Oryctolagus cuniculus: one gene and its partners. The protein of the gene in region 2 interacts with the protein of the main gene of each other region in a biochemical or structural test. Links are inferred from orthologs where the notes say so. Each region holds a gene or a part of one and is shown on either strand. Other genes may lie near its edges. The genes, in order: MYOD1, RB1, CDK14, CDK6, UBTF, E2F2 and CDK9.

What was found.
Region 1: the proteins of RB1 (region 2) and MYOD1 form a complex in vitro, tested with the Homo sapiens proteins (2 studies listed by BioGRID). The link is inferred for Oryctolagus cuniculus from reciprocal best matches to the Homo sapiens genes RB1 and MYOD1.
Region 3: of the proteins of RB1 (region 2) and CDK14, one has a biochemical effect on the other in vitro, tested with the Homo sapiens proteins (2 studies listed by BioGRID). The link is inferred for Oryctolagus cuniculus from reciprocal best matches to the Homo sapiens genes RB1 and CDK14.
Region 4: of the proteins of RB1 (region 2) and CDK6, one has a biochemical effect on the other in vitro, tested with the Homo sapiens proteins (9 studies listed by BioGRID and IntAct). The link is inferred for Oryctolagus cuniculus from reciprocal best matches to the Homo sapiens genes RB1 and CDK6.
Region 5: the proteins of RB1 (region 2) and UBTF form a complex in vitro, tested with the Homo sapiens proteins (2 studies listed by BioGRID). The link is inferred for Oryctolagus cuniculus from reciprocal best matches to the Homo sapiens genes RB1 and UBTF.
Region 6: the proteins of RB1 (region 2) and E2F2 form a complex in vitro, tested with the Homo sapiens proteins (2 studies listed by BioGRID and IntAct, with this or other methods). The link is inferred for Oryctolagus cuniculus from reciprocal best matches to the Homo sapiens genes RB1 and E2F2.
Region 7: of the proteins of RB1 (region 2) and CDK9, one has a biochemical effect on the other in vitro, tested with the Homo sapiens proteins (4 studies listed by BioGRID, with this or other methods). The link is inferred for Oryctolagus cuniculus from reciprocal best matches to the Homo sapiens genes RB1 and CDK9.

The regions. Positions count from the first base shown.
Region 1 is NC_091432.1:48,597,234-48,601,278, reverse strand, and holds MYOD1 (myoblast determination protein 1), read left to right. Parts: upstream 1-1,245; 5' UTR 1,246-1,531; coding exon 1,532-2,158; intron 2,159-2,631; coding exon 2,632-2,710; intron 2,711-2,971; coding exon 2,972-3,222; 3' UTR 3,223-3,819; downstream 3,820-4,045. UniProt on the Homo sapiens protein: Acts as a transcriptional activator that promotes transcription of muscle-specific target genes and plays a role in muscle differentiation. Together with MYF5 and MYOG, co-occupies muscle-specific gene promoter core region during myogenesis.
Region 2 is NC_091440.1:67,472,663-67,476,453, forward strand, and holds part of RB1 (retinoblastoma-associated protein), read left to right. Parts: intron 1-196; coding exon 197-310; intron 311-400; coding exon 401-564; intron 565-2,469; coding exon 2,470-2,500; intron 2,501-3,791. UniProt on the Homo sapiens protein: Tumor suppressor that is a key regulator of the G1/S transition of the cell cycle. The hypophosphorylated form binds transcription regulators of the E2F family, preventing transcription of E2F-responsive genes.
Region 3 is NC_091447.1:44,623,449-44,627,239, forward strand, and holds part of CDK14 (cyclin-dependent kinase 14), read right to left. Parts: intron 631-3,791; coding exon 510-630; intron 1-509. UniProt on the Homo sapiens protein: Serine/threonine-protein kinase involved in the control of the eukaryotic cell cycle, whose activity is controlled by an associated cyclin.
Region 4 is NC_091447.1:42,948,018-42,952,322, reverse strand, and holds the start of CDK6 (cyclin-dependent kinase 6), read right to left. Parts: upstream 3,044-4,305; coding exon 2,811-3,043; intron 765-2,810; exon of another isoform or gene 405-764; intron 1-404. UniProt on the Homo sapiens protein: Serine/threonine-protein kinase involved in the control of the cell cycle and differentiation; promotes G1/S transition. Phosphorylates pRB/RB1 and NPM1.
Region 5 is NC_091448.1:19,038,501-19,042,797, reverse strand, and holds the start of UBTF (nucleolar transcription factor 1), read right to left. Parts: upstream 2,840-4,297; 5' UTR 2,595-2,839; intron 2,031-2,594; exon of another isoform or gene 1,901-2,030; intron 1,582-1,900; exon of another isoform or gene 1,443-1,581; intron 380-1,442; coding exon of another isoform or gene 1-379. Other genes in the region: basic salivary proline-rich protein 2-like, read left to right, coding at 1-379. UniProt on the Homo sapiens protein: Recognizes the ribosomal RNA gene promoter and activates transcription mediated by RNA polymerase I (Pol I) through cooperative interactions with the transcription factor SL1/TIF-IB complex.
Region 6 is NC_091438.1:147,416,201-147,419,991, forward strand, and holds part of E2F2 (transcription factor E2F2), read left to right. Parts: intron 1-74; coding exon 75-294; intron 295-1,478; coding exon 1,479-1,637; intron 1,638-3,590; coding exon 3,591-3,705; intron 3,706-3,791. UniProt on the Homo sapiens protein: Transcription activator that binds DNA cooperatively with DP proteins through the E2 recognition site, 5'-TTTC[CG]CGC-3' found in the promoter region of a number of genes whose products are involved in cell cycle regulation or in DNA replication.
Region 7 is NC_091432.1:231,222,053-231,224,851, forward strand, and holds the end of CDK9 (cyclin-dependent kinase 9), read left to right. Parts: intron 1-256; coding exon 257-428; intron 429-561; coding exon 562-710; intron 711-1,244; coding exon 1,245-1,610; 3' UTR 1,611-2,050; downstream 2,051-2,799. UniProt on the Homo sapiens protein: Protein kinase involved in the regulation of transcription.

The DNA of each region.
Region 1 (4,045 bases), on a different chromosome or scaffold from region 2:
GGCTGCCTGCTCCTTCTGCTTCCAGCCTCTCCAGGATGCCTGCAAGGGAGCAACACGGCTGAGGCTTCTGCAGGAGCCGAGCCTGGGGATTGCTTGGGCACCTTCCGGGGCTTTGTGCCCCAGGGGAGGGCTAGGGAGCCCACTGGGCACACTGCTGCAGCTGGTGCTCAGGACAGAGCAGGCCCTCTGACTACCATGGCCCTGCACCTCGGACCGAGGACTTCTGCATCCTTGATCTCTCCAGCTTCTCAGCACTAAGCAACTGCCCCAAGAAAGTCCTCCTATCCCCATATTGAAGCAAACGGCAACTGAGGCTGGGGAAGGAGGTGTGGCTTCCACAGAATCACACAGCTGGGAAACTGGGGATTTGGGTCCCCCCTGGTGGGCAAATGCCATTCTCAAAGAGTTCTCAGGCCAGGTCCCCGCCTCGAGGATCTCTGCGAAAGGCATTTCCCGGGTCTGCGGGGGGTCTGGAGCAGACGCAAGCCCTGCGCAAAGGGAGTTCACTTCCCAGCCCAGGAGGCTCTCAGCCTAGCCCCAGGGACACCCGGCGTCAAGGGCGAGGGTGGGCTGGGCGTGAGTCCACCTCACTGCCTGCAGACCCCGCACGACCCGAGTTCGGAGAGAGGGGCTAGATTAAGCTCCAGCAGCGAGATCCACGCCCGAATAGACGCAGCTGGGTTTCTCAGCGTTCAGGAAAGACGAGCAGGGCCCGCGCAGCCCTCTGAGTGACTCTCAGGACAGGGACAGGGACTGGCCGAGTGGCTCTGCCCCCGCGTCCGGTGCGTCTCTGCCTGGCCCCTCCGTCTCTGGGCCTCTTTGGTGGTGGTGGTGGGGTCTCGCCTTTGCACCACCTCAGCCCTAATTGTGTCTCTGCCCCATTACTTTGCATCTCTCTCAAATCTCTCCTGATCTCATTTCTGCCCCGGCTCTGCTCCTGGTTTCCGCACAAATACGGGACCGAGTAAGAGCCAAACTCCGCCCGGAGGGAAGTGAGCGCCCAGGGCCAGCGTTTCCCGCGAACACAGGAGTCGCGTGTTGGAAAGGGTGTGCCTAGGAGCCAAGCGCAGCGGGTCAGGCTGCCAGTCTGCCGCGCTCCCTGCTCCGGGAGGGACCGGAGTGCGCGCGCGCGCGCTGGTGTCCACGGGCGGGAGGGGGGCCACTCTCTCGCCCTGGCGGCCACCCCGAGGACCCAGAGCTCCGCCCTCCTCTGTTCCTATTGGCCTCGTGCTCCCCCGCCCCCGCCCCCTCAACCGGCTTGGGCTCCCGGGGCGCTTAGGCTACTACGGATAAATAGCCCGGGGCGCCTGGCACTAAGCTAGGGCCGGGGAAGCCCCAGGGCACTGCCGCCGCTCTGCTCGCCGCAGGTCCAGCTGGCCAGGACGCGGCGGGGTGGCGGACAGTCGGGTGTGCCCTCAGACCCCCGGCACTCTGCCATCGCACGGCTGGGGTTCCCCAGCGACAGAAAGTTCCGGGCAACCCCTGCCGCCCGGGTTGGTGAGGCCGGGCCCGCGCCGCCCTGCGCTGGGACATGGAGCTGCTGTCGCCGCCGCTCCGAGACGTGGACTTGACGGGCCCCGACGGCTCCCTCTGCTCCTTTGCCGCAGCGGACGACTTCTATGACGACCCGTGTTTCGACTCCTCGGATCTGCGCTTCTTCGAGGACCTGGATCCGCGCCTGGTGCACGTGGGCGCGCTCCTGAAGCCCGAGGAGCACACGCATTTCCCCGCCGCCGTGCACCAGGCCCCGGGCGCGCGCGAGGACGAGCATGTGCGCGCGCCCAGCGGGCACCACCAGGCCGGCCGCTGCCTGCTGTGGGCCTGCAAGGCGTGCAAGCGCAAGACCACCAACGCTGACCGGCGCAAGGCCGCCACCATGCGCGAGCGGCGCCGCCTGAGCAAAGTGAACGAGGCCTTCGAGACGCTCAAGCGCTGCACGTCCAGCAACCCCAACCAGCGGCTGCCCAAGGTGGAGATCCTGCGCAACGCCATCCGCTACATCGAGGGCCTGCAGGCTCTGCTGCGCGCCCAGGACGCCGCGGGCCCTGGCGCCACCGCCTTCTACGCGCCCGGCCCACTGCCCCCAGGCCGCGGCGGCGAGCACTACAGCGGCGACTCGGACGCGTCTAGCCCGCGTTCCAACTGCTCCGACGGCATGGTAAGGCCTGGACGCCAGGCGGAAGGAGGGGAGGCAGCCCTGGGGCGTGGGGGTGGGGGAAGGAGTGGGTGGGTCTGGAGCCTTTCCCGAGGGCGGGGAGCTGGCCCTCGCGACAGGCATGGGCGGACAGGGGCCCGACCCAGAAGTGGACTCGCGTGGCTCCGGCGGCTGTCGCTGAGGTAGCCTAGGGCTTTGGAAGCACGCAGGACGGGTACAGTCGGCACGGCTGGGACGCTGTTACAAAACTTGTTGAGGGATCTGCTCCTTTCCTCCATGGATCCCTGTTTCCAAAATGCAGATCTGAGTCCTGCCTCGTTTGGCTCTGGACTCTGCGGTGCGCGGCTCCTGTCCACCCAGGACAGATCCGGGACCAGAAGCCCTCGGCTGAGTCTCGGGGAGCTGGGGAGGGGGTTGCTCCTGGGAGTGGCGCTCCGGTCCCGCGGGCCTGACGCGGTCCCCCCAACCCTTTGCAGATGGACTACAGCGGCCCCCCGAGCGGCGCGCGGCGGCGGAACTGCTACGACGGCGCCTACTACAGCCAGGCGCCCAGCGGTGCGTATCCCGCGCCTCCTCCATGTCCCTCTCCCAGCCGCCCTGGCTTCCCTCCACCTAGGACCCCCCCAACCCCGCCCCACATAGCCTGGCAATGGTGCGGGGGATGAAGCCCTGGCGGGTCGCGTGCCCTGCCGTCGTCCCGCACCCTCGCTGGATGGTTTCAGACTCCCGCAAGTCCTCCGAAGCACAAGGGGGCTCAGGGGTGGAGGAGGTAGCCGCGGCTCCACCCCTGCTCACTCCCCTGCCCTCCCCGCGCAGAACCCAGGCCCGGGAAGAGTGCCGCCGTGTCCAGCCTTGACTGCCTGTCCAGCATCGTGGAGCGCATCTCCACGGAGAGCCCCGCTGCGCCCGCGCTCCTGCTGGCGGACGCGCCACCGGAGTCGCCCCCTCGCCAGCAGGAGGCGGCCGCCGAGAGCGAGGGCGAGCGCGGAGCACCCACGCCGGCCCCGGACACCGCCCCGCGGTGCCCTGCGACCGCAAACCCCAACCCCATCTACCAGGTGCTCTGAAGGGGAGGGCTGCCTCGTGCAAGGGCGCCGCTGCCTACGCGCCCGAGGGACGGAGCCCCTGGGGTTCCTTCGTGCCCCCAAGATTGAGCTTAAAGCGACCCTCCGCCCCCTCCTCCGCGGTGGCAGAGACGGGGGGAACCCGGTCCCCGGCCCCAGGGCGAGCTCACGGTGGGTGTCTTCCACGCCGCGCCTGCCCTGGCCGCTGGGCGATCGCCGGCAAGCCGGGGCTGATCCTTCCGCTTCCTCGACGCCTCCCCAGTAGGGGGAACTGGATCGCCGCGGACCCAAGCCCGGCCCCGCCCCACCTCCGTAGCTACATCCTTTCAAGCTCCTCCCATCGCACCTGCGGGATGCGCGCCAGTCCCGCAGGTAACCCACCCCAACCCCGCCCTCCGGTTCAGGACCACTTTTTATAATACTTTTTTGTAATCTATTCCTGTAAATAAGAGTTGCTTTGCCAGAGCAGGAGCCCCGAGGGCTGTATTTATCTCTGACGCATGGTGTGCGGTGCAACGGCGACTTTCTATGTTTATACGGCAGGCGGGCGAGCCGCGGGCGCTCGCTCAGGTGTTCGAAATAAAGACGCTAATTTATGCCGCGGTGGCTCCGGCTTTCCCCGGGCTCGGGGGCGGGATCCGGAGGAAAACCCGCGAGCTGGGCCAGCTGTCTCGCAGCGACCCCTACAGGCGACAGGCAGATTGCAAGGAGGAAGACCGCTCAGGGTCGAGGGAGTGGGGATGCCTCCAGAACACACACTGGGGTTTCTCTGAGTTTGATCTGCATCACACGCAAGGCGGTGGCTCTCATGGAAGCGTGCACATCA
Region 2 (3,791 bases):
TGCTGCTTTTCTGGATCATTCTGTGGTCTTTTGCTTCTCTTAGAGCAGCTACACACTAAGAAGACTTTTTCAGGTTATTTTCTCCTATATAATAGATGTTTCTCACTAGGTAAAGAAAATTACAAAATACATAAAATTAAGCCTAAAGAGAGGAATTCCTAAGTTCATTCAGCAAGTGTCTGTTATTCTTCCTCAGACATTCAAACGTGTTTTGATAAGAGAAGAAGAATATGACTCCATTATAGTATTCTACAACTCGGTCTTCATGCAGAGGCTGAAAACAAATATTTTGCAGTATGCTTCCACCAGGGTATGTACAAAGTATTCTTTCATTGGGAAAATGTAATTGTAGTGAATGCCACTAACACATTAAATAATACGCTTTTTTGTTTTGCTCTAGCCCCCTACCTTGTCACCAATACCTCACATTCCTCGAAGCCCTTACAAATTTTCTAGTTCGCCCTTACGGATTCCTGGGGGGAATATCTATATATCACCCCTGAAGAGTCCATATAAAATTTCAGAAGGTTTGCCAACACCAACAAAAATGACTCCAAGATCAAGGTTTGTGTTTTCTCTTTAGGGATATGGAAAATAATGAGGGAGTATTTTGATCCAGGCATAAAACCATAAAGATTTCTTTGTTTTAAAAATAAACTAAACTCTTGAGTCTCAATTGCTTGTTTATATTGAGTGACATTATAAGAATTTGGAGGAAAAGAAAAATTTGCTTGTTTGCAAATTTACTCATCAGCTTTCCTGGCTATTGGGGTCTCTCATTTTGTAAACAGCTTGAGACCCGATTTGGTTATATGTTTCAAAGCACTTTCATATTTTTGTAAGTAGCCAATCTGCTGAACAAAGTAGGTTACATTAGTTTTAAAAATTTTTAGTCTGTAATTTATTGAATGCCCTGTAAACTCCTTTTATACCTTACTCATTTTGCTTATTATAAAATTGGGGACGACTTACTAAATGTAGATGACTGTCAATTAAGTATTTAGGATGCATCCCTAATTCTGCCTTGGCCTCCTTGTATTACTGTGGGCAGGTCTCTGTCTCTACTTCAGAAGGGTCTGTGGACCAGGGAAATGATGTGTAAAGCTTTTTTAAATTCTCAGATGAAAGGTTATGTGCAACTACAAATCATTATATTATCTTCCACATCCAAGCACAAGTACTCTCTGGCTTTGAAGTGCTTCAATTGACTAATTATATGTTATCATGGGCTAGTTGAAACTGACTTTATTTGTCTAAAGTGGGAGGCAGATTAACTAGTATAATTAATGTAGTCTCACCTTAAAAATTGTCAGCCCATATAGTTGGCACCTAATGGGCAAGAAAAACAAATAAGGATAAGGAGCTACATTAATTAGCCTTTCAGAAAATGCAAGTAATACATCTCCAGAAAATTTTAAACTCTACAGAAAACTATGAAGTAAAAAAAAAAATGGTAATATGCTCCAAATGCTCTTCTGTGCTCCATTCTTTAGTTACTTGGTATCCTTACAGTTAGATATCTACACAGTGATATTTTTAATGTATATGCTGTTAGGATGCCATGCCATGTTTATTTAAATAAATTTACACAGTTCCATGCCATCACATGAAGATGTACATGCAGGTGGTTTTTAAAATAATGATAATTAATCCATTTTATGGTAATAATAGAGGCTGTTTGCTGATCCTAGTGAAATCAATTCTCTGTTGGTATTCTTTACCAAAAAAAAAAAAAAGTCATATTGTGAAAAGCCTAACTGGTAAGTCATTAATCAGGCATTAAGAAAGGATCTGAGCACTATTTATCCAGCATATTTACATATTGTAGTTAATCAAGTATGTGTGTGTGTAACGATGACTATTTGTCAAGGAGTTAGAAGACAATAACATCTATGGGTCTTCTAGTTCCATGTTCATATTTTCAAAGCTATTGAGTTATGTGAGGCTAAATATGTTCTTCAGCTTTATTATAAGAATATAAATTGTATAGTTCAAACAAAGACACTAATAACTATCTCTGATTCTAGGGTATCTGATAAATAGCCTTTACTATATACAATATAAATACTAATTAGAATTCTGATAATTACTTAGTACTGTAAGTTTTGGCAGATATAACTTGAACTTTAAATGAGGAAATGTGAAAGAAATTTTATAACTTACCCATTGAGAACCAAATAAGGGTAAACTTTAAACCATCTTTTACCCTCTTTAAATGTGAGCTTTGGCAGAATATGTTCTTGTAGACTCTCAGTTCTCTCTGTAAAAACCTAAGAGGCCAGCTGAGTGTTTGATTAGACTAGCACTGTTAGAATAAGCCCCTAATGAATATAGTTTGTCAGAGGATCTAGAGTAAAGGAAGCCTTTGATTTAGAATTGCTGATAGTTCAGAATGATGTGTCTGTGTTCATCTCTGTGCAATACTGTATGGTTTCCATTATTAATTTGTATTTCATCTTCACTTGACAGAATCTTAGTATCAATTGGTGAATCTTTTGGGGTGAGTAATTTTCTGTCTATGAGACATAATGGCATATACCATAACCATAAGGAATAAAATATTTCTATAATTTGAACTGATAAATTCTGTTATTCTATTATTATTCTATTATTCAGATATTCATCTAGGCATTTTGCATGTGTATCTTCTAAGTATATAGTTTTACTTTTAAATAAGTAATAGATATAAATCATACTCATAATTGGTGAACTTCAAAATGGTGCTTAGGCATTCCTTCAAGATTATATAATACCTATACAGACATTCATGTGTATACATGAATGTATCTGTGAGATGGTTTAACAAATCATACTTCTGACACCAAATGTGAGGTTTTGTTCTCATGCCAATCCTCCAATTCTCTGGTCATAAAATATTGTCCTACATTTTTGTAAGGTTATTTATTTATTTGAAAGGGTTATAAAAAGAAGAGACTGAGCAGGAAAGAAATTGTCTTCCATCTGCTGGTTCACTCTCCAAATGGCTGCAACATCTAGGGCTGTGTCAGGCTGAAACCAGAAGCCTGGAATTCCATCTGGGTTTCATATCCTCTGCTGTTTACTGAGGCACATTAGCAGGGTGCTGGTTGGGAAGTGGAACAGCCAGGACTCCAACCAGTTCCCACATGGGGTGCCATGTCACAGGCAGCAACTGTACCTGCTGTGCCACATTGCCAATCCCATGGGTGTCCTACAATTCAATTCAATTCAATTCTGACAGTTCTTAATTAGAGTTAATATCAGTTTCCAGGTTCAAGAGCTTGATACCACAAGACTGTCCTCACTTCAGAAGTCAATCACAGGGGTCAGGCCCATCCAGCTTGGTTAAAATTGAGGTTTCCATAATACCTTTCTCACCTTTTGTGTTTGGTCATTTGCTAGAGTGGCTCACAAAACTCTGAAAAATACTTTACTTATCCTAAGTTATTATAAATGATAAAAAACCAATAGCCAGATGAAGAAAAATATGGGACTGGGTGCAGCAGGGTCCCTCACACAGGAGCTTCTGTCCCTGTGGAATTCACTGACTCCAATACTTTCTCAACCTTGTTGTTGAGGAATTTTTATGGGGTTTGATTATATAGGTATAATTGATAAACAGGGTCTCTAGCCCCTCACCCCTCCCTGAAGGTTATGGGTGTGTCACTGAAAGTGCCAAGTCAAGGCTTGGTGTTTCTGGTGACCAGCCCCCATCCTGCTGCTATCTAGGAGCCCAAAAAGCATTGAACAAAGATGGTCCTATCACCCTTATCATTCAGGAAGTTCCAAGAGTATTAGAGCCCTGTCCCAGG
Region 3 (3,791 bases), on a different chromosome or scaffold from region 2:
CAATGAGGCCCTCCTAAAGTTTCAGTAATTGTTTGACTTCATTTTGAATAACTGACACCATCAGTTTTCAGAGATATAGCGCTTAAGTCTCAACAAAATTTTCAGACCACTTATCTGAGCTTTGTTGTGAATTTAAGCATGCCCACGGTTTCTTCCAACACAGCTGAAATTTGAAATATATATGTGTGTGTGTATAGACAGATAACCTTGTTACGAAATAAAGCCACAAACTAAGACCCCTAGGGAGAAAACTCAGTACTGACAGTTAGAAAAATGTCTCTGCCCCTGTCGATCAAGAACCATTACCAGACACCATCTGCAAAGGAGACTCTGATTAGAGAGCATTCCCAATCAGGTTTTCAAAAAACGCAGCAGTGTTGTGACACCCAGGCAAACACTCCTGCCCACGCACCATTAATCTTCATTCAGACTGTTAGGAGGTTTGTCTAGGCTTGACCCAGACCAAGCACAGTGGACAGACTAGGCAGAGTGAAGCTTCCGTTTCTCACCACATGTCAAGGCAGGTGGAATATTCTGTGGAGCCCAGGAGCACGTCCGGAGGCCTGTACCACAGGGTAACCACTTCGTTGGAGTATGTGTGGCTGGGGACGGACTTTGCTCGTGCAAGACCTGTAGGTTACATGAAACACAAACAAGTTTAATGGGCACTAATGGAACGAGGGTTTTAAGTCTGAATGTTCACAGTTCTGAAAGGTCAAACACGATATGGCAATTCAGAGTCATGAATGTAATGTTGAAGTTAATAGAAAATCTGGGGAGAGCATATGGTGGTTTCTCTTTTGAATACATGCTAATAACCATTAAATTATTTATATTTCATAATAGCACTCTGGTTTCACAAATCTAATAAGATATCAGTTAAGTAAACAAGTAGTTCATAAGCCATTAGATATAAAACAGAGGCTTAAAATCCCTGAGGTTTTCCAAAGTATGCTTCATAGAGCTCTAGTTCTGAGAGTTACGAATGTGTAAGTATTATCCGAAAAGCTTCTCTGGTCAAAGAACTTTGAGAAAAGAAAGGTTTAGGAAGTAAAACTGTCTCCAAATTGTAAGACTTCTCAGTGGTCTTGATTTTTCTCATCTGTAAGAAGATGGCAGGACACTTTCCTCACAGGGCTGTTCTAAAGCTGCCTGTGATTTGAGCATTATCAGGTCATCACCATGAAATGCTGACTGGGGAAGATCAATTGAAAACCACCCACTTCCAAAGGAACAGTCAAATAAATGTGGTACCCACAGATGATGAGATTGCACACAATGAAGGAAAATGCCTTCTTAAAATTTCTTAACACTGAGAGCATGGTCACAGTAAGACAGTAAATGAAAAAAATAGATGCAGTTTATCTCTGTTACTATAAATTAATGCATAGGAAAAAGACTGGCAGGAAATATATCTAAACATCTTCAGTGATTACCTCTCAACTTTAGGATTATACAATTTTCTTATATTTTTGTAAGATTTTCTAAGGATTTTCCAAGTTTGAGGTAATGAAAATAAAATTCTTCAAAATATAAAACCAACACATGTCATTTTTGAAAAGAAAAAAAACCTCCTTGTGACAGCTCTCTATCTGGCTTTGTTCTTTAAAACAAATATAAAGTATTTACCATTGTGACATTCCAAGCACATAAAACATTTTTATAGTGATCCTACCATGACATATTCATTTAAATTTTTATTGTAGTATTTAGGAAAATGACTTTTTCCTTTTATGGTATTCCATTGTGTTATATGTAAATGCAAAAATTAATAAAAGTGAACAAAAAATTGTCTTATTAATTTAGTTATGGTTACAGTCAATTTTATTCTACAAAGCCAGTTTATAAAATGTAATGTCATGCCATAGACTGGTTAACATTTATGAGTATTCGATATTTGCACATGCAGATTATCCAAACACACACATGCATACACTTTTATGGTCCCTACTTTTTCAGCACACGAGTGGAATACCTATTTTGATAACACATTTCCATAATAATCCCTTACTTTTTTTCTCTGCAGTTTCGTCTTACTTCAACTCAGGCAAAACTAATAACAGACAGGACCATCAAGACAGCATAATGCCTCTAGAATTTAGGTAATCTCATCAAAACGTTTTGCTCTTCAAATGACTGAGCTTCCATATAGACTAAACAGCAAAATACAAGTCCTGAAAATAGGTTCTGACTTGTTCCATGTGCTGTTGTCAAGTCAAATGGGAGGCAAAAAAACATTCAGCCTGGATTCCCTTGGTTTTCCCAAGGCCCTGTTATCAGAAAGTGAGGCCAGAGGGGCGTGAGAATGCAAACATCCCAGGCTTTCTATGACAGCTCAGATGACCACGCTGGTTTCAAAAAACTGTGATATTCTCACTTGTAAAGGGAAACCAAGACCTTGAAAATAACCTGGAAAATACTAGCAATCAAGATAATTGTATATAATTTCAGTTCAATTATGTTAATGCTAAATATGAGTTTGTTCAACTGGTTTAATACTTGTGGAAAATATAAACAGAAAAATTCTTTTGCTATATTGTTCTCTCCTTCCCACATATATAAATTAAAGAACGTCCCAACTTTATTCAAATGAGTCACATAACTTTACAAAACAACAGTGAAAATGGGTTTTCAATATGTAACTTTTTAAAGTGTGAAGACTCCGTTTCATAAGAGTTTGCACGTAAAGTGTCAAAGAATGAAGACTGTTGTTATAGTTTTTTAACAAAAGATTGATTTATTTAAGAGTTACAGTTACAGACAGTGAGAAGGAGAGAGAGAGAGAGAGAGAGAGGTCTTCCATTTGCTGGTTCACTCCCCAAATGGCCACAATGGCCGGAGCTGAAGCCAGGAGCCTGGAGTTTCTTTCAGGTCTCCCATGTGGGTGCAGGGGCCCAGACACTTGGGCCATCTTCCACTGCTTTTTCAGGCCATAAGCAGAGAGCTAGATTCATCCTGGTGCCCACATGGGAGATGCTGGTGCCACAGGTGGAGGCTTAACCTACTCTGCCACAGTGCTGGCCCCACAATTTCAAGACGCATTCTTCTGCATCACTTGAGAAACATTCTCTCATCATTTCACTTTATCAATTAAAATAGTTTCATGTGAAAAGTGTGCTGTGTATTGATGAACAAAAGGTCTTCATCTTAAAAATATTTGGTTAATAACACAAATGAATCCCAATACTGTTCAGGAAAGTAGCAAAGTATTAAAACAATGCCAAAACAAAGAAGGGAAGGAAGAAAGAAAAAAGACTGAACAGATGAATGAATACCGTGAAGTACGTATGGAGCTACATTTTTCCCAAATAATTTTGGTAAAGATACCACAAGGTATTTACACAGTTCATGCATCAAAACATGCTCACTCATGCAAAATTTATTAAACTGCACCCCCAAGCTGAAGGAAAACCGTAGGACAGGATTAATTAGCCCAGCATGTGTGAAAGCTTGCTTTCTCTGTTCCTTGTCAGTTGCTATGGTTACACTACAGGAAGAAAGCTACACCACCTTTCATAAAAGATGAAGTTCATGGGTTATTACCAAAACTTCTTATATTAATGTTTAGCTTGAATTAAAAGTCAAAACGCAAAGTGAAATGCTAACCTGTGTGTACAGGTTATGTGCACACTGCTGCTTTGGCTGAGGGTGTGCACATGACGGGGGCCAAGTTCTACAGGCATCTCACAGGGCTTCCATAACTCAGTGCATCTAACATTTTAAGATGCTGCCATTCTACCTCATGAAAGACCCTGAAGCAGGTGGGAAAATCCTGCTACGAGTTAAGAAGC
Region 4 (4,305 bases), on a different chromosome or scaffold from region 2:
TTACACCCCGGACACTAACTGGCTAATCAAGCCTGGGCCTGGGACACATCAAGAATAGGTAAGCAAGAACTTCCAATCCTTGTCTCTGTGCATGCAGGCTGTGTCAGTGCCAGCAGCAACAAGTCAGCGCTCCTGGCAAGTCCATCAAAATTAAATCTTAAACTTTTGGAAAAAAAAAAACTAATATGTTTATTATGCTCCTTCAAGCTTAGAGGCTTAACTATCTGCGGGGAGGGCCTGTAATTACGATCAATTACTTATGACTTGGAGGCACTTATAATGGCATCTGCCCTTTTAAGAAACATTTAAAGAACCAAGCATCAGCCTGTAAAGCTGATCCTGGGGGCAGCAACAAATCACAGGCTTGGGGTCAAACTGACAACTCTCTCTCTCCCTCTCCGCAGAGAAGAACTGCCGTCACCTGTCCTTGATTTCCTGACTCTGCCTGAACAGAGTAGCCACCTCTGAAATCCGTTACTGCTCAGTGTGCTCAGTGTGGCGATCATGGGAGCCAGTGGTCGTCCCAAGGCAGCGGTGGAAGAAGAAACAGGAAGGAAATGAAACAGGAAGAGAGATCTGTAGCTCGTGAGGGTGACATCATCAATAATTTCCTCAAGTGTCACTGAGCTTCATGGCATATGACTGACAGCCTTTGTGGACAAACTACAGGCTCACTGTACTCAAGTAGCCCCTGTGGCTCCGAAGCCTGTAATCTAAGGGTATGAATATGATTTGTTCTTGGAAAAAAAAATAAAAAGGCCAGGTGCACTGATGCCTGCTGGGAACCTGTTCTGGGCAAGCGCGTCCCACTAATCTTCAGGAACACAATGTGTAGACACCTGAAGTGCTTCTAGATGCACAAAGTGTTTTCACACATGGCGTCTCACTTGACCCTCACCAACTACCAACTCCAAGGGGTGGGTGGCACCGCACCGCTCAACAGGCAAAGACAGTCTTAGAAAAAGGTGTCTTCTGATTCGTTAAGTAAATCCTCCTGACATTTGCAGTGCAGAATCTCAGTTGTGGCTCAGTGAGAGATCTCTGAAGACACACCAGCCTCAGCAGGTTTCACCCCGCGGGTGGGACGGAGGGGCCCCAGCGCGGCAGCACGGGGCGCGAGCTCTCCTCCGTCAGGAGAGCGAGTCCTGCCTCGTTAACAACAGTGGTAGTACCACCAGCGTGCCTCTGTAACACCCCCATGCTGGAAGGTCAGATGTGGCAGCTGCCTGGGATGGGACAAAACCAGAAATCTTGGTCTCAAAATTCTACTGGTGAAGTCACCCTTTGGAAGGGCTTAGGCGACACCCTAGGGAAAGTACTAAGTTAGAGGGAGCTAACTGTCCCCTCTACGCCCACTCTGATACCAACAAACACACCCTCCAGGGGTATTTTGTTTTTTTGTTTGTTTGTTTGTTTAGTTTTTTCAAAAACACGGAGAAAAGGTAACCTGTCGCTTTAATATGTAAGCCCACCTCCCAAAACACTCTCCCAGTCTCTTTATCTTCGACCTCCACCCTTGACAAGCTGATGGAGAGGTATAATGGAGTCCTATCTTTACAGTCATTTACTACCTTATTTATGTATTTATGATTCTCTGCTGCCTTCCAGCCTGAGTCTTCACTGTCTTGGGAACAAAACACTACACCAATCACCCAGCCTAGGGTAAGAAGAGGCAGGTCAGAACCTCCCACGGAGACTGCAGGCACCCGGTCTCCCTGAGCCTGTCCAGGGTTTGGTATTTCAGGTCATTCTCGGGTCGCTCCGTTTTGATGAGTAATGTTAAACTGTTTGACTTTTCACAAAAATATTTAGCCATGCTTATTTACATCACTTCATCCGCAGCGCACGCAGCAGGCACGTAAGTGTTGAGCACAATGCCTCGCGGAAGGAGGGTCTGGGACCTCCTTCTCCCAACGCGTGAGGAGTCCACAACCCGCTCTGCCTCCGTGCATGCCTTTGTGACCTGAAGCCATGCAGCTCCTCTGTTTAAAAACAAGATGACACAAACGCACACACAGTCAACTGCGCAAAGGGGCGATTCCAGGATCACCAAGAACCCACCATTCCCCTAAGTCTCACTCACACACACACACACAGTTTCATTTAATATCTTTAATACCGGTCACAGCACAGCAGAGACTTCAGGGACTGACTGCGTACCCCACTCCTGCCAGTCACCCAGGAAAAGCAAGGACAAAGAGCACTGAGAATCTAAAGCCACCACACCTTGGACACCCATCCCTTGGCAGCGGTGGTCCAGGGGCTATGCCAGCCCAGAGAGAAGTGGCACGGACAAGAAGGATGACAGCTCTGGGACGATGCTGTCTGCCACTGGGCGACTCCCCGGATCATCAGTAAGCCATTCTCATTGTGCAACTTTAATACAGAGAAACTGGGTGTGATTAGCAAACATATTCTTATCCGTTTCTGCATTTTTAAAGACCTCATTTGTGCAAGGCTCCACCCTAGAAGTTTTCTCCTCGCTTATCACACGGACAACCTGCTCCCTCTCCTTTGCAGTCGCAAGAAAGAAAGAGAGAGAGAGAGAGAGAGAGAGAGAGAGAGAGAGAAAGAGAAAGAAAGAAAGAAAGAAAGAAAGAAAGAAAGAAAGAAAGAAAGAAAGAAAGAAAGAAAGAAAGATCCCCCGAAGCCGGGAAACGCAAGCAGCAGTGGTCTCAGGTCTGTTGGTTCTGCCCCCAAGGCCTCCCCCGCAAGGCCCTCGGGGCGGTCGGGGAGAAAACACCGGCGGCACGGCGCCGGCGAAGCCCGCACCTCCCCGGGCCCCCGACGGCGCGGACCCCAGGGCTCACCTGACCACGTTGGGGTGCTCGAAGGTCTCCAGGTGCCTCAGCACCGCCACCTCGCGGATGGTGGAGAGCGGCATGCCTTCCTCGCCCGTCTGCACCCGCACGCGCTTCAGCGCTACGAACCGGCCTCCGTTCTTGAGGTCGCGGGCCTTGAACACCTTCCCGTAGGCGCCCTCCCCGATCTCCGCCACGCACTCGTACTGCTGGTCGGCGCGGCTCAGGCCGTCCTTCTCCATGCCGCCTGCACGCCGCGGCTCCCCGGAGCTCGGTCCCGCTCTCCTCGGCCCCGCCGGCTCCGGCGCGGGCTGGCGCAACCCTGGTGCCGCCGCGGCGAAACTCCGCCTGCCGAGCCGCCGGGGAGCGAGCCGAGCCCTCCTCTTCCCTCCCCGAAGCGAAGTCCTCCGCACCGACACCGAGGCGATCACATAGTCTCCACCCGAGCGCGTCTCGGTCCGGGGTCTTTGCGACTGAAACGGGGGACAGGAGAGAGGACGACAAGTCAGACCGCCCGGGAGCCTTCCTCGGGGTTCCTGCAGCCTCCCCTCCTCCACGGCGCCCCCACGCGCGCCCGGCCCTCTCCCGCGCCGCCCAAGCCTGCCTGGCTCCTCCCGAGCAAAGCGAGGTCACTTTCTCTCCCCGCAGGGCTGCAGCCGTCTGCGCGCGGCGAGGCTGCAGGGGCCCCTCGGGGATGAGCGCGCCGCGCGGGACGCAGGGCAACGGGAGGGGGCGTGCCGAGCGGCCCGGAGTGTGCCGGGAGCGCGGGGGAGGGGAGGCGCCGGGCGCGTCAATGTCACGGCTCCGCGCGGATCCCTCGCGCGCCGCGCCGCCCGGGGGCCTGGACGCGGGTGGGGGCTCCCGGGACCCCGGAGCCCGCGGCCGGGCAGGGTGCGAGAAGGGGTCGTCACGCATCTGCTCGGAAATTGCTTCCTTTCTTTTTCTACTTTCAGTTTTTCTAAGGGGGAGACCTTTAAAGACGCGGCGCACACGTACGTGGTCTCGCCGGGGGCCGAGGCGCCTCGGCCGGGAACGCAATCCTGCCTCCGACTCCGAGGGACCTCCCTGGTGGAAACCCCGGGAGAATCAGCCATCTGGTCGGGGCGGGCTGGGCTGCGCCGGGGTGGGCGAGCCGGAGGCCCTGGAAGGGGCAGCCCCACGTGGGATGCCGAGGGTGGGGGCGAGGGGCGTCCGCCTCCGGGACTCAGCGCGGGGAGGAAGACACCAGGACCGCCGACTCGCCCCGAAGTTTCCAGCCCAGGTCAACCTGAGCCGAACGCTACCTCCCCAGAGGGTGGTGGGGGCGGGGGGCGTCGACGCTGCGCCTCCCGGGCCGAGGGGGAAGGGGCTGCGCCCCCCGGAGCCTGCCCTCGCCACCCTTTCCCCAACCCGCGAGGCCGTCCGCGGCGCCGTGGCCCCCCGGCTCCCGGGAGCCCGGGTCCCGCGTGCAGCCGGGGGCCGGAGCCCTCCGCACAACAAAGCCCCGGAGGGGGTGCCCTCACTT
Region 5 (4,297 bases), on a different chromosome or scaffold from region 2:
GGCTCGGCTCGGGCCTCGCTTCCTGCCTTCCCCTCCCCCGGCGTCCTCCCCAGTGCCCCGGTCTGCTCGCGTCCAGACCCTGCTCGGAGGCCGCCCCGGGTCTGCGCCGGGGTGTCCGCCGCTCCCGCGGGTCTCTCCCTGGCCGCCCCGGCCCCGACCCCCAGCGCGCGCCCTCAGCCGCCTCGGTTACCCGGCGCAGCGCGACCTCCGGGCTTCCCGCTCCGGCGGCTCCCTCCCCGGCTCTGAGCGGCGGCGCCCTCCCCCGCTCGGCCGGGCACAGCCGCAGCTCCCTCCCGCGGCGGCAGCGGCTCCTCCTCCGGGCGCGGTGGCGGCGCTGGGGCGGCGGCTGCTGCTGCTGCTGTGGCGGCGGCGGCTGTAGCTGCTGCCTGCTGCTCCTCGCGGCGAAAAGCACAAAGCACAGCGCCCTCCGCCTGCAGGCAGCCCGCCCGCCGCCCGCCCGCCGGCCCCGGCCTCAGCTCGCACACCCCCCGCCGCCGCCGCAGCCTCCGCCGCCGGAGCGGGGAGGAGGAGGGAGAAGGGAGGAGGAGGAGCGGGAGGGGGGGCGGGAGAAGCGGGGCAGCGAGCGCGTCCTTCCCCGTAGAGCGCACACCGACCCCCGGGGAGCGAGCGCCAGCCCGCCCGCCTCGCCGGCTCCGCTCCCTCCCACAGCCTGCCCGGGCGGGCTCCGCGGGGGGCAGCTGGGAGGAGGGGCGGGAGCTGGGGGGACCCGGGCGGCCGAGGCGGAGGGAAGGAAGGAGGGGAGGGGGGTGGTGGTAGTGGTGGTGGTGGTGGCGGTGGCGGCGGCGGCGGCTGCTGCTGCTGCTGCCGCCGGGGAGGGGGGGGGGCCGGGGCAGGGAGACACGCAGCCGCCCGGATGGCGGCGGGGCTCGGAGCCGAGGCGGGCGGGCGGGCGGGCGCCGAGAGCGACCTCGCCAGACCCGCGGGGGAACTAGCAGGCTCGGCCGGCGCGGGAGGGAGGGCCGAGGCGCGGCCGCGGAGAGGGTGCCCGGAGGGCCCCCCGGCGGCCGAAGAGGCTCGGGGGTGCCCGCAGTGCAGCCCCGGACCTCTCCTCCACGGCCTCCCAGCCCAGATCCGGCCTTCCAAGCCGGCCCTCTCCCGCCTCCCGGCGCGGGCGGTTCGCGCCCACCTTCCCCAGAGCGTGGCTACTCGCTCGGGGTGCCGATCGCGGTGCCAAGCTTCGGCGCCTACTTCGCCGCCGAACGGCACACGCGAAACTCGAAAAGCAAAATATCCTTGCCAAGGGGGAAAAAGAAATTCCCTTCGCTCCTTACACCCAGGAAGCGGCGAGGAGCCACGGTGGGAGCCGGTTCAATCCAGCCCGGCATGGCTCCCCAGGCCTGCCTGGGCGCATGGAGATCGGCGGCGCGGCCGCTCGGAGCAACCCCTCTCCCCCGAAATCCGTGGCGCCGGGGCTCACTTACCGAGCGTGTGGATGGGAGCGCGGGCCGGGGACACCTGGGGGCGCGGCGGGCCGGAGAGCCGAGCCGCAGCTCCGCCGCAGCCGACTCCGGGGCAGCGAGTCGCCAGACAAAGCCCGAGATGGCGAAGCGGAGCGACGGCTAATGGCGAGCCCCACGCGCCGCGCTCCGCCCGCCCCGCTCCGCCCGCCCGCCTCGGCGCAGCGCAGCGCCGCTCCGAGCGCTCGCCCGTCAGAGCCGCCTCGGCGCCGCCGCCTCCCGGGCCACCGCGGCCTCGCCTGGCCCCTCCGCCTCCTCCGGGTGGCTCAGCCTCACCCCTTCCCTCCCACCGCTCTCGGGGCTGCGCGAAAATTGGGGGGAAAAAAAGGAAAAAAATTTTTTTCCTCTTTTTTTTTTTTTTTTTTTTTTGCAGGGCGGGAGTGCGGAGACTTTGGGTCTTTTTGCCCCCAGCTCGCACTCACCTGCGGAGCCGCCGGGAGGGCCGGGGGTGGGGGCGCGCGGGGCTGGAGCCGGCGAGCGCGGGTTGAAAGCCAGCCAAGCTCTGCAGCGCCCGACCCGGGCGTGTACGCCGCCGCCAGTCCCCGCAGAGAAATCGTCCTCCTACCCCCGCCTCCATCGCTCTGCGTTTCTCTTCCAATCAGCCGGTCGCTTGGCGGCTCCTCCATTCTCCGGCCAAGCCCGCTGCCTAGAGCGAGCTCCACTCCTCCATCTGCTCGCCCGGCTCCTCGCTCCCCTGCCGGGGCCGGCGAGGCGCCGTGGGGCGGAGGGGGTTTTGCGAGGGAACCTGCCCGCTCCCCGCTCCCAAGGCTCCGGCCCCGCCGCCGCCCGCCTCCTGCTTCTCTCCTGCGCCTTTCCAACTCTCCCCTGTCGCCACTGGCGTGTGTCTGAGTGTGTGCGCGGTTTTTCTTTTTCTTTTTTCTTTCCTTTTTTTTTTTTTTTTTTTATTGCTCTTTGCTTTTGCAACCCTGAAGCCAAAGCGAGGGGGAAGTAAAGGGGGGGGGGTGTTATAAAAAAAAAAAAAGAAAGAAAAGACAGAAAGAAGCTCTTAGATGAGCCATCTCGGAAGACCGGAGCGGCAGCGCTCCTCGCCCGACCTCCGAGCCCCGCGGGGCCGTCCCGGGTTTGGAGCGAGCCTCCTTCCCAGCGCCCCCCCACCTTCGCCGGGCTGAGGATACGTGGAGTCCGAGCAAAAAGTTCTCCCCTCGGGTCGTCGTGAGGGGTGGCAGGGTGGGAGCTGGGAGGTTTCCAAAGCAGCAGCAGCCGTCTCTCCTACCCGGCTTCGGAAGTGGGCCGGGGTGGGAAGCGAGAGCCAGGTCCCGGCGGGCTTACGCGGAGAGGCTTCCGGGGGCCCAGTCGGTACCGGAGGCCGCGCCGCGCGCATCTCCCCCTCGCTCGCCGCCGCCTGTCCCCTGCCAGCTCCCCCTTTAATTTTTTTTTTCCTCCTCTCCCTTAATCTAATTTCTTCCAACTCCACCTTTGTTGTTACCGGCGTCACGCCCGGACCAGCCAATCCCCGCCACGCAATCAGCTTGTCAAAAAGGCTCGACCAGCCCGGGGAAAGCAGGCCGCGGGCGCTGCCCCCCGGCGGCGGTGGGGAGCCGCGAGGGGCGCCCGGCACCCGGGCCGCGCGGGCCGCGCAGAGCGTCCGGCCTCGGCCTCCGCTGCCGGCGCCGGGGTTGTCCGACTTTGCCTTCTTAGCTCCGGGGAAGTGTTCTCAGGGCAGGACGCAGGGAGCCCGCGGACAGCCGAGGGCGCTGGCTTGCGGCAGGCCGGCCCACGGCTTGGCCCTTCGTCCGGGACAGCGCCATGACGCCTGGCTCCCACCCCGGCCCCGCCGCTGCCCGCGTCTTGTTCCGCTGCGTCCCCGGGCCCCTGTGGGCTCTTGGCTGGCGCGCAGCCTCCCTCCCTCCTCGCACGGGCTCTCCGCCGCGGTAATTCCTCCTGCCTCCTGGGAGAGATGAGATTCCTTTCCCAAGACTCCTGCCACGGTTCTCGCCTCGGGAGGAGGGCGCCGCCGGGATCTGGTGTGTCTGGGTTTTTAGCGGGCAGGACATGAGGAAGATGCAGACTGACCATCATGCGAATGAAGTTGAAGCTTTAAGGCCTGTGCAAGACCTTGGACTTGACTTTGCATCCCGTAGTTGGTTCTTTTTTATTTTTTTGGTTAAAGAGCACTCCGACCTCCACAGTTCACCTGCAGGCCCTCACACTTGATCTGCCTTTGATTCACTCTGGGGACATTTTATGCAGGATCAAGCCATCTCAGGCTGCACCGAAATCGGGGCATGGAACCAGTTGCTATTTCTGACAAAGGCTTTGGGATCAAAAGTCCTAACTTTTTTTTTTAATAGTGTGAGTGTTTGGGCAAGTTTTAACCCCACCTGATCCTAGTTTCCGTATCTGTGGAATGACAACAGCAGCCTCACCAGGCATCCGAGGGTCAATGGGAGAAACCTAGACCCCCAAGAAGGTTCCAGATCTGCCACACGCAGGTCTGGAGTCCAGGTGTCTTGGCTCCTGGCCCTGAACTTCTTGGCTGGGTCAAGGGGCTTTTCGGTAAAGTGCTTCGGAATAAAGCAGGATGAACGTGAATCATAAGAATGCTTGTTATTGATTCCTTGGGCAGCAGAACTGCTGGCGCCCTTCCCATTTGGAGAGCGACTGGCTTGGGTCGCACCCATCACAGCTCTGGTGCGGTCAGGAGCCGAGGACTTGGGCTGTGGGCCAGCACACCAGGGAATTTGCCCTTGGCCCTTTCTCTCTGCCCCCCTTTGCCTGTTCGTCTCCTCCTCTCTTCTCGTTTTCTGGTGCATGCCTTCACACAGAGCCTTGGCATTCGGTGAACCCAGCCTGAGCCT
Region 6 (3,791 bases), on a different chromosome or scaffold from region 2:
ACTCTGTCAAGGGGGTAGAGGGTGGCGAGAGGTGGGGCTGGCCCCCCTCAGTTGTGCCTGCGCCCCGTCCTCAGCGCCCAAGTCCCCCGGGGAGAAGACGCGATACGACACGTCGCTGGGGCTGCTCACCAAGAAGTTCATTTACCTGCTGAGTGAGTCGGCCGATGGGGTCCTGGACCTGAACTGGGCGGCGGAGGTGCTGGCCGTGCAGAAGCGGCGCATCTACGACATCACCAACGTGCTCGAGGGCATCCAGCTCATCCGCAAGAAGGCCAAGAACCACGTCCAGTGGGTGTGAGTGCCCGCGCGGGCCATGGGGCCGGTGGTGGGCGGGGCTGGGGTGCCAGTGCCCGCCAGGCTGTGGGGGCTCAGCGGTGGGCGGGGCCGGGGCGGAGAGAGCCCCTGGCTGTGAGGTCAGGGCCAGGGCCGGGGTGTGAGTGCCTGGGATGTGGGGGCCGGGGTGTGGGTGCCGGGGTGTGAGGGTCAGGGCCAGGGCCGGGGTGTGGGTGCCGGGGTGTGAGGGTCAGGGCCAGGGCCAGGGCCGGGGTGTGGGTGCCGGGGTATGAGGGTCAGGGCCAGGGCCGGAGTGTGGGTGCCGGGGTATGAGGGTCAGGGCCAGGGCCGGGGTGTGAGTGCCTGGGATGTGGGGGCCAGGGTGTGAGGTCAAGGCTAGGGCCAGGGTGTGAGTGCCGGGGTGTGAGGGTCAGGGCCAGGGCCGGGGTGTGGGTGCCGGGGTGTGAGGGTCAGGGCCAGGGCCAGGGCCGGGGTGTGAGTGCCTGGGATGTGGGGGCCGGGGTGTGAGGTCAGGGCCAGGGCCAGGGTGTGAGTGCCTGGGATGTGGGTGCCGGGGTGTGAGGGTCAGGGCCAGGGCTGGGGGCAGAGCCACTGCTGGAGAGCTGGGTGGAAGGGCAGGTGCACTCCCTGGAGTAACAGGAGGTGGGAAGCAGGATGGAGATGATCTCCAGGAAAAGCAAAGGCCTAAAAGGACCCCAGCTCCTTCCTCTTGGGTGAGGACTCCCCAGGTCCCCATCTCCTAGCTCAGGGAAGTCCCGGGAAGCTGAGAAGGCCTAACCCAGCCTCCATCTCTGAGACGTGAGGACCAGGGCCTCCTCTTCCCACTCCTGCAGGGTCTGAAAGAGCAGACCTACAGTCCCTGGCGTGGATCCTGAGAGAACCCAGGCAAGGGACTCAGGACTGGGGTCACTGTGGTCCCCTGCCCTTTGGGGGAGGCTGGGCATTAGGGATGGACCGAGTGGAGAGCCCCCCAGAAGCGGGGTTCGGGCCTCGACTTCCAGTTCCAATCCCTGAGAGTGATGGTGACCATGTGATGTACACACCCCGGGGCCACCATCATGCACCTTGACCTGGCCTTGACCTGGAGCTTCACCCCTACCTTCTCTGCAGCCCTGGGGTTGGGGGTGGGACTCTGGGTGTGGATTGACACTGACACTGGCGGTGGGGGGCTGCTCTGTTCCCAGAGGCAGGGGAATGTTTGAAGACCCCACCCGGCCCGGGACGCAGCAGCAGCTGAGGCAGGAGCTGAAGGAGCTGACGAGCACGGAGCAGGCCTTGGACCAGCTCATCCAGGGCTGCTCTCTGAGCTTAAAGGACCTGACCGAGGACAAGGCCAACCAGAGATATCCTGTGCTGTGGAGGGGCCGGCGCAGGGCCTGCGTGTGCTTCTGTCCCACCGCCTCCCAGGGCTCTGGCCATCTGTCTCTTTCTCCGTGGTTTTTCCTCTCAAGCCTGTTAGAGTTACCTTTTCATGATTCAAAATGGGACAAATACATTTTTTAAAGATTTATTAAATTTTTAAAAGACAGAGTTACAGAGAGAGAGAGAGGGAGAGAGGGAGAGAGAGAGAGAGAGAGAGAGAGAGGTCTTCCATCCCCTGGTTCACTCCCCAAATGACCACAATGGCCGGAGCTTCTTCTGGGTCTCCCATGTGGGTGCAGGAGCCCAAGGACATGAGCCATCTTCTGCTGCTTTCCCAGGTGCATTAGCAGGGAGCTGGATTGGAAGTGGAGCAGCTGGGACTTGAACCAGTACCTGTTATGGATGCTGGCACTGCAGGCAGCAGCTTTACCTGCTACACCACAGTGGTGGCCCTGAGACAAGCACACTTCTCTTTTTCTTTCTTTTTTTTTAAGGTTATTTTTATTTATTTGAAAAGCACAGTTACAGAGAGGCAGAAGTAGAGAGAGACAGAGAGAGAGAGGTTGGTCTTCCATCTACTGGTTCACTCCTCAGATGGCTGCAACAGGTGGAGCTGCACCGATCTGAAGCCAGGAGCTTCTTCCGGGTCTCCCATGCAAGTGAAGAATTCCAAGGACCTGGGCCGTCTTCTACTGCTTTCCCAGGCCATAGCAGAGAGCCGGATCAGAAGTAGAGCAGCTGGGACTCGAACTGGTGCCCATATGGGATGCTGGCACTGCAGGCAGCAGCTTTACTTGCTACCCCACAGCACCAGCCCCAAGTATATTTCTTTAAATCTGCAAAATATAGAACAAAAAAGAAGCCGTGGGCTGCCAGCCTAACACATCATCGCTTCCTTACGAGGCTCGGGGACCCTGCTGCACATTGCATTTTTTGTTCTGTTCTTCTCCAATTAATACTGTAGACGTTTGTATTTGCCATTACATATCCACAGGAAAATGCCAGTATGCAATCACGACGTACCCGTGAGAAAGCAACTTCACATGACTCAATCTCTTTTTCACCTGTCTATAAACTGACTTCAGATTGTCTTATAGAATGAGTATGTGGAACAAGTCTAGGTTTCTGCTTTCATAGAGGTGAATATCTTTGTGTGTTGGACATTGCCCCCTTATTGTCACTTATTTCCCTAAATCAGATTCCTGGGATGCAAGCAATGAGGTCAGAGAGCATGGTTTGTGCATTTTCCCAAATGGTTTCACATCTAATTGGCTTTTGGATCTAGCCTGGTATTTTTGGAAGGATGTTAGGCATTGTGAGAAATATAAAGAAGCAAATCTTCCTGTCTTCTCAGAGCTAAGATCTTTTTGAGAGGAAGCCTTTACATAAAAAATTGATATAAGGCAGCATATTTTAAAGATTTTTAATTAATTTATTTAAGAGGTAGAATTACAGACAGAGGGAGAGACAGAGAGAAAGATTTTCCATCTGCTGGTTTACTCCCCAAATGGCCACCATGGCCGGAGCTGGGATGATCCAAAGCCAGGAGCTACTTCCGGGTCTCCCACGCAGGTGCAGAGGCCCAAGCACTTGGGCCATCTTCCAGTGCTTTCCTAGACACATTAGCAGAGAGCCGGATGGGAAGTGGAGCAGCCGAGACTCAATCCGGTGCCCATACGTGTTGCTGGCACCGCAGGCGGAGGCTTAGCCCACTACGCCACAGCACTGGACCCATGGGCAGCATTTGAAAATGATGCACACCTCCTTGGGCTGTCTAAAAGTATCCAAAGGAGCTTATGACATTCAAAGAAGAGGTTACAGTTCTGAGTTATTTCTAAGCAGTGTGAGAAAGCGGGAGTCAGAGGCTTGGGCCCCGCCTGGCATCTGGGGTCTGCACTTTGCCCAGCGCTCACTTTTCTTGACTCTGCCCCTACGCTGGCCTACGTGACGTACCAGGACATCCGTGCTGTCGGCAACTTCAAGGAGCAGACGGTGATTGCCGTGAAGGCGCCGCCGCAGACGAGACTGGAAGTGCCTGACAAGACCGAGGTGAGAGCAGGAGCCCCTGGGGCAGGGTCCTGGGCCGCTCTGTGCGCGCTGCCCTGGCACTGCCCGTGCCAAGCTTCCCTGGGATG
Region 7 (2,799 bases), on a different chromosome or scaffold from region 2:
GCGGGGCGGGGCCGCGGGGGGGGCCGCTGAACGGGCTCTACTACATCCACAGGAACAAGGTGGGCGGGGCGGGGGCGGGAGGGGGCGGGGCCGCGGGGGGGCCGCTGAGCGCCCTCTACTACACCCACAGGAACAAGGTGGGCGGGGGCGGGGCCGCGGGGGGGGCCGCTGAACGCCCTCTACTACATCCACAGGAACAAGGTGGGCGGGGCGGGGGCCGCGGGGGGGCCCCCCCGCTGAGCGCTCTGCTCTGCAGATCCTGCACAGGGACATGAAGGCTGCCAACGTGCTCATCACCCGGGACGGGGTCCTCAAGCTGGCCGACTTCGGGCTGGCCCGGGCCTTCAGCCTGGCCAAGAACAGCCAGCCCAACCGCTACACCAACCGCGTGGTGACGCTCTGGTACCGGCCCCCGGAGCTGCTGCTGGGTGAGGCCCTGGAGCAGGCTGAGGCTGGGCAGGGGCCAGGCACCTGCCTGGGCTTCTTGAACCACCTGCCCCGGGGCTCCGAGCCTCCCGGGGCCACGGCTCAAGGGGCCCCCTGCTGCGCTCTTGTTCCCAGGGGAGCGGGACTACGGCCCCCCCATCGACCTGTGGGGTGCCGGGTGCATCATGGCGGAGATGTGGACCCGCAGCCCCATCATGCAGGGGAACACAGAGCAGCACCAGCTCGCGCTCATCAGCCAGCTCTGCGGCTCCATCACTCCTGAGGTGCGTGCGTGGCCGAGCTGCCGGGCGCCGGGAGGAGTGACGGACGGGGGCCTGGGAGGAGTGACGGCCAGGGGGCCTGGGAGGACTGGCGGACAGGGGGCCTGGGAGGACTGGCGGACAGGGGGCCTGGGAGGACTGACGGACAGGGGGCCTGGGAGGACTGGCGGACGGGGGCCTGGGAGGAATGACGGACGGGGGCCTGGGAGGAATGACGGACGGGGGCCTGGAGGACTGGCGGACGGGGGGCCTGGGAGGACTGGCGGACGGGGGCCTGGGAGGACTGACGGACAGGAGCCTTGGAGGAGTGATGGGTCGAGAGGCTGCAGAGGGGCGGGGCCTGCCTCTTGGAGCCGCATGGGCTCTGGCACCAACTGTTTCGTGGCCGATGCCTCTGATGCCACGTGAAGGGGTCGGGTCCCCATCCCGGGGCGCTCCCAGAGCACCCGTGTGGAGCTGCTGTTGGAATCCCTTTGGGTGCTGACCAGCGGCCAGGCCGCACGCCCACCCGACGGCCTCCCTCCCCGCCCCTCGCAGGTGTGGCCGAACGTGGACAAGTATGAGCTGTTCGAGAAGCTGGACCTGGTGAAGGGCCAGAAGCGGAAGGTCAAGGACAGGCTCAAGGCGTACGTGCGCGACCCCTACGCGCTGGACCTCATCGACAAGCTGCTGGTGCTGGACCCCGCCCAGCGCATCGACAGCGACGACGCCCTCAACCACGACTTCTTCTGGTCCGACCCCATGCCGTCGGACCTCAAGGGCATGCTGTCCACCCACCTGACGTCCATGTTCGAGTACCTGGCGCCCCCGCGCCGGAAGGGCAGCCAGATCACCCAGCAGGCGACCAACCAGAGCCGCAACCCCACCACCACCAACCAGACGGAGTTCGAGCGCGTCTTCTGAGGCCGCGCCCCCCGCTGTGACTCGCGCTGCGGAGCCCGCGGCCGGCGCGGCTCTCTAGTGCGCGTTTTATTTATTCCCTGCCCGGGGCGCCGGGATGCCCAGCCGGCTGGACTGGAGGGAAGCATGGCTGCCCGGCTAGGAGGGCAGGGGGTGGCCGCCCCGGCCCTGGCTTTCTGGACGGTGCCCGGGGGTCTCCGTGCCTGAGGCGGGGACAGGCTGGGAGGAGGGGCTCCCAGCATGATGGGAGGAGGGGACGGTCCCTCGCTCACCCCGCCTCGGGACGAGCGGCTGGCCTTGGGACAGTGTGCTCCGGCGCCCCCCGGGAGCCCTGGGGCTGGCGGGAGCAGGAGTGTTTTATCGGGTTGCGTGGTTGAGTTGAGGGACGTTCCTGCGTGCAGTTTGGTTAGTTACAATTAAAAGTTGGCTTTTTTTTTTTTCCACCTGGTGGCTGTATGTTTTCTGCACCCAGACCCCAGCTGTCGGGTCCCGGGGTCCTGGTGCTGTTCCGGACACAGCCGCAGGAGGCTCTGGGCCTTTCCCGTCCTCTCAGTACACGTGGCGCGATGCTCTCCAAGAAGCGGGTGCTGGGGGGCTGCTGGTCCTGTGCGCGAGTTCTCGGAGGCGGGGGCTCCCGGGAGCCGCGGCGCAGTGTTGACCCAGGCGGGCCTGAGCTGCTGCCCTCACAGTCCGCTGCAGCCTGACTCGGGCACGGCGTCACTTCAGACCTTTCAAAGTGTTTGTTTATTTGAGAGAATTGGGGGGGGAGGCAGGTCTGTCTGCTGGGTCACTCCCCAAACGGCCTCAGCAGCTGGGGCTGGGCCAGGCGAAAGCCAGGAGAACTCCGTGCTCCTCCCTGTGGGTGCAGGGCCCCAGCACCGGGGCTGCCGCCGCTGTCCCCAGGCGCGGTTACAGGGAGCTGGACTGTAGTGAAGCCAGGGCTCCCATGGGAGCCCAGATGTGCAGGTGGTGGCCTAGCCCGGGGCAGCCAGCCCACTGTAAGGCTGTTAATCACGGAGTGACGATCGGACGTGTAACGTGAGGTCCTCTCCCAGGGCCCCGGCTGGAGGGGCCTGGGGAGCGAGGAGGAGGGAGTACCAGCGGGTTGAAGGGCTGCAGGGGTCTGGGGAGGTGGCTGGGGGTAACGGGTCAGGGCGACACGGAGGAGGGAGAGTCTGCGTGCAGGCGGGCG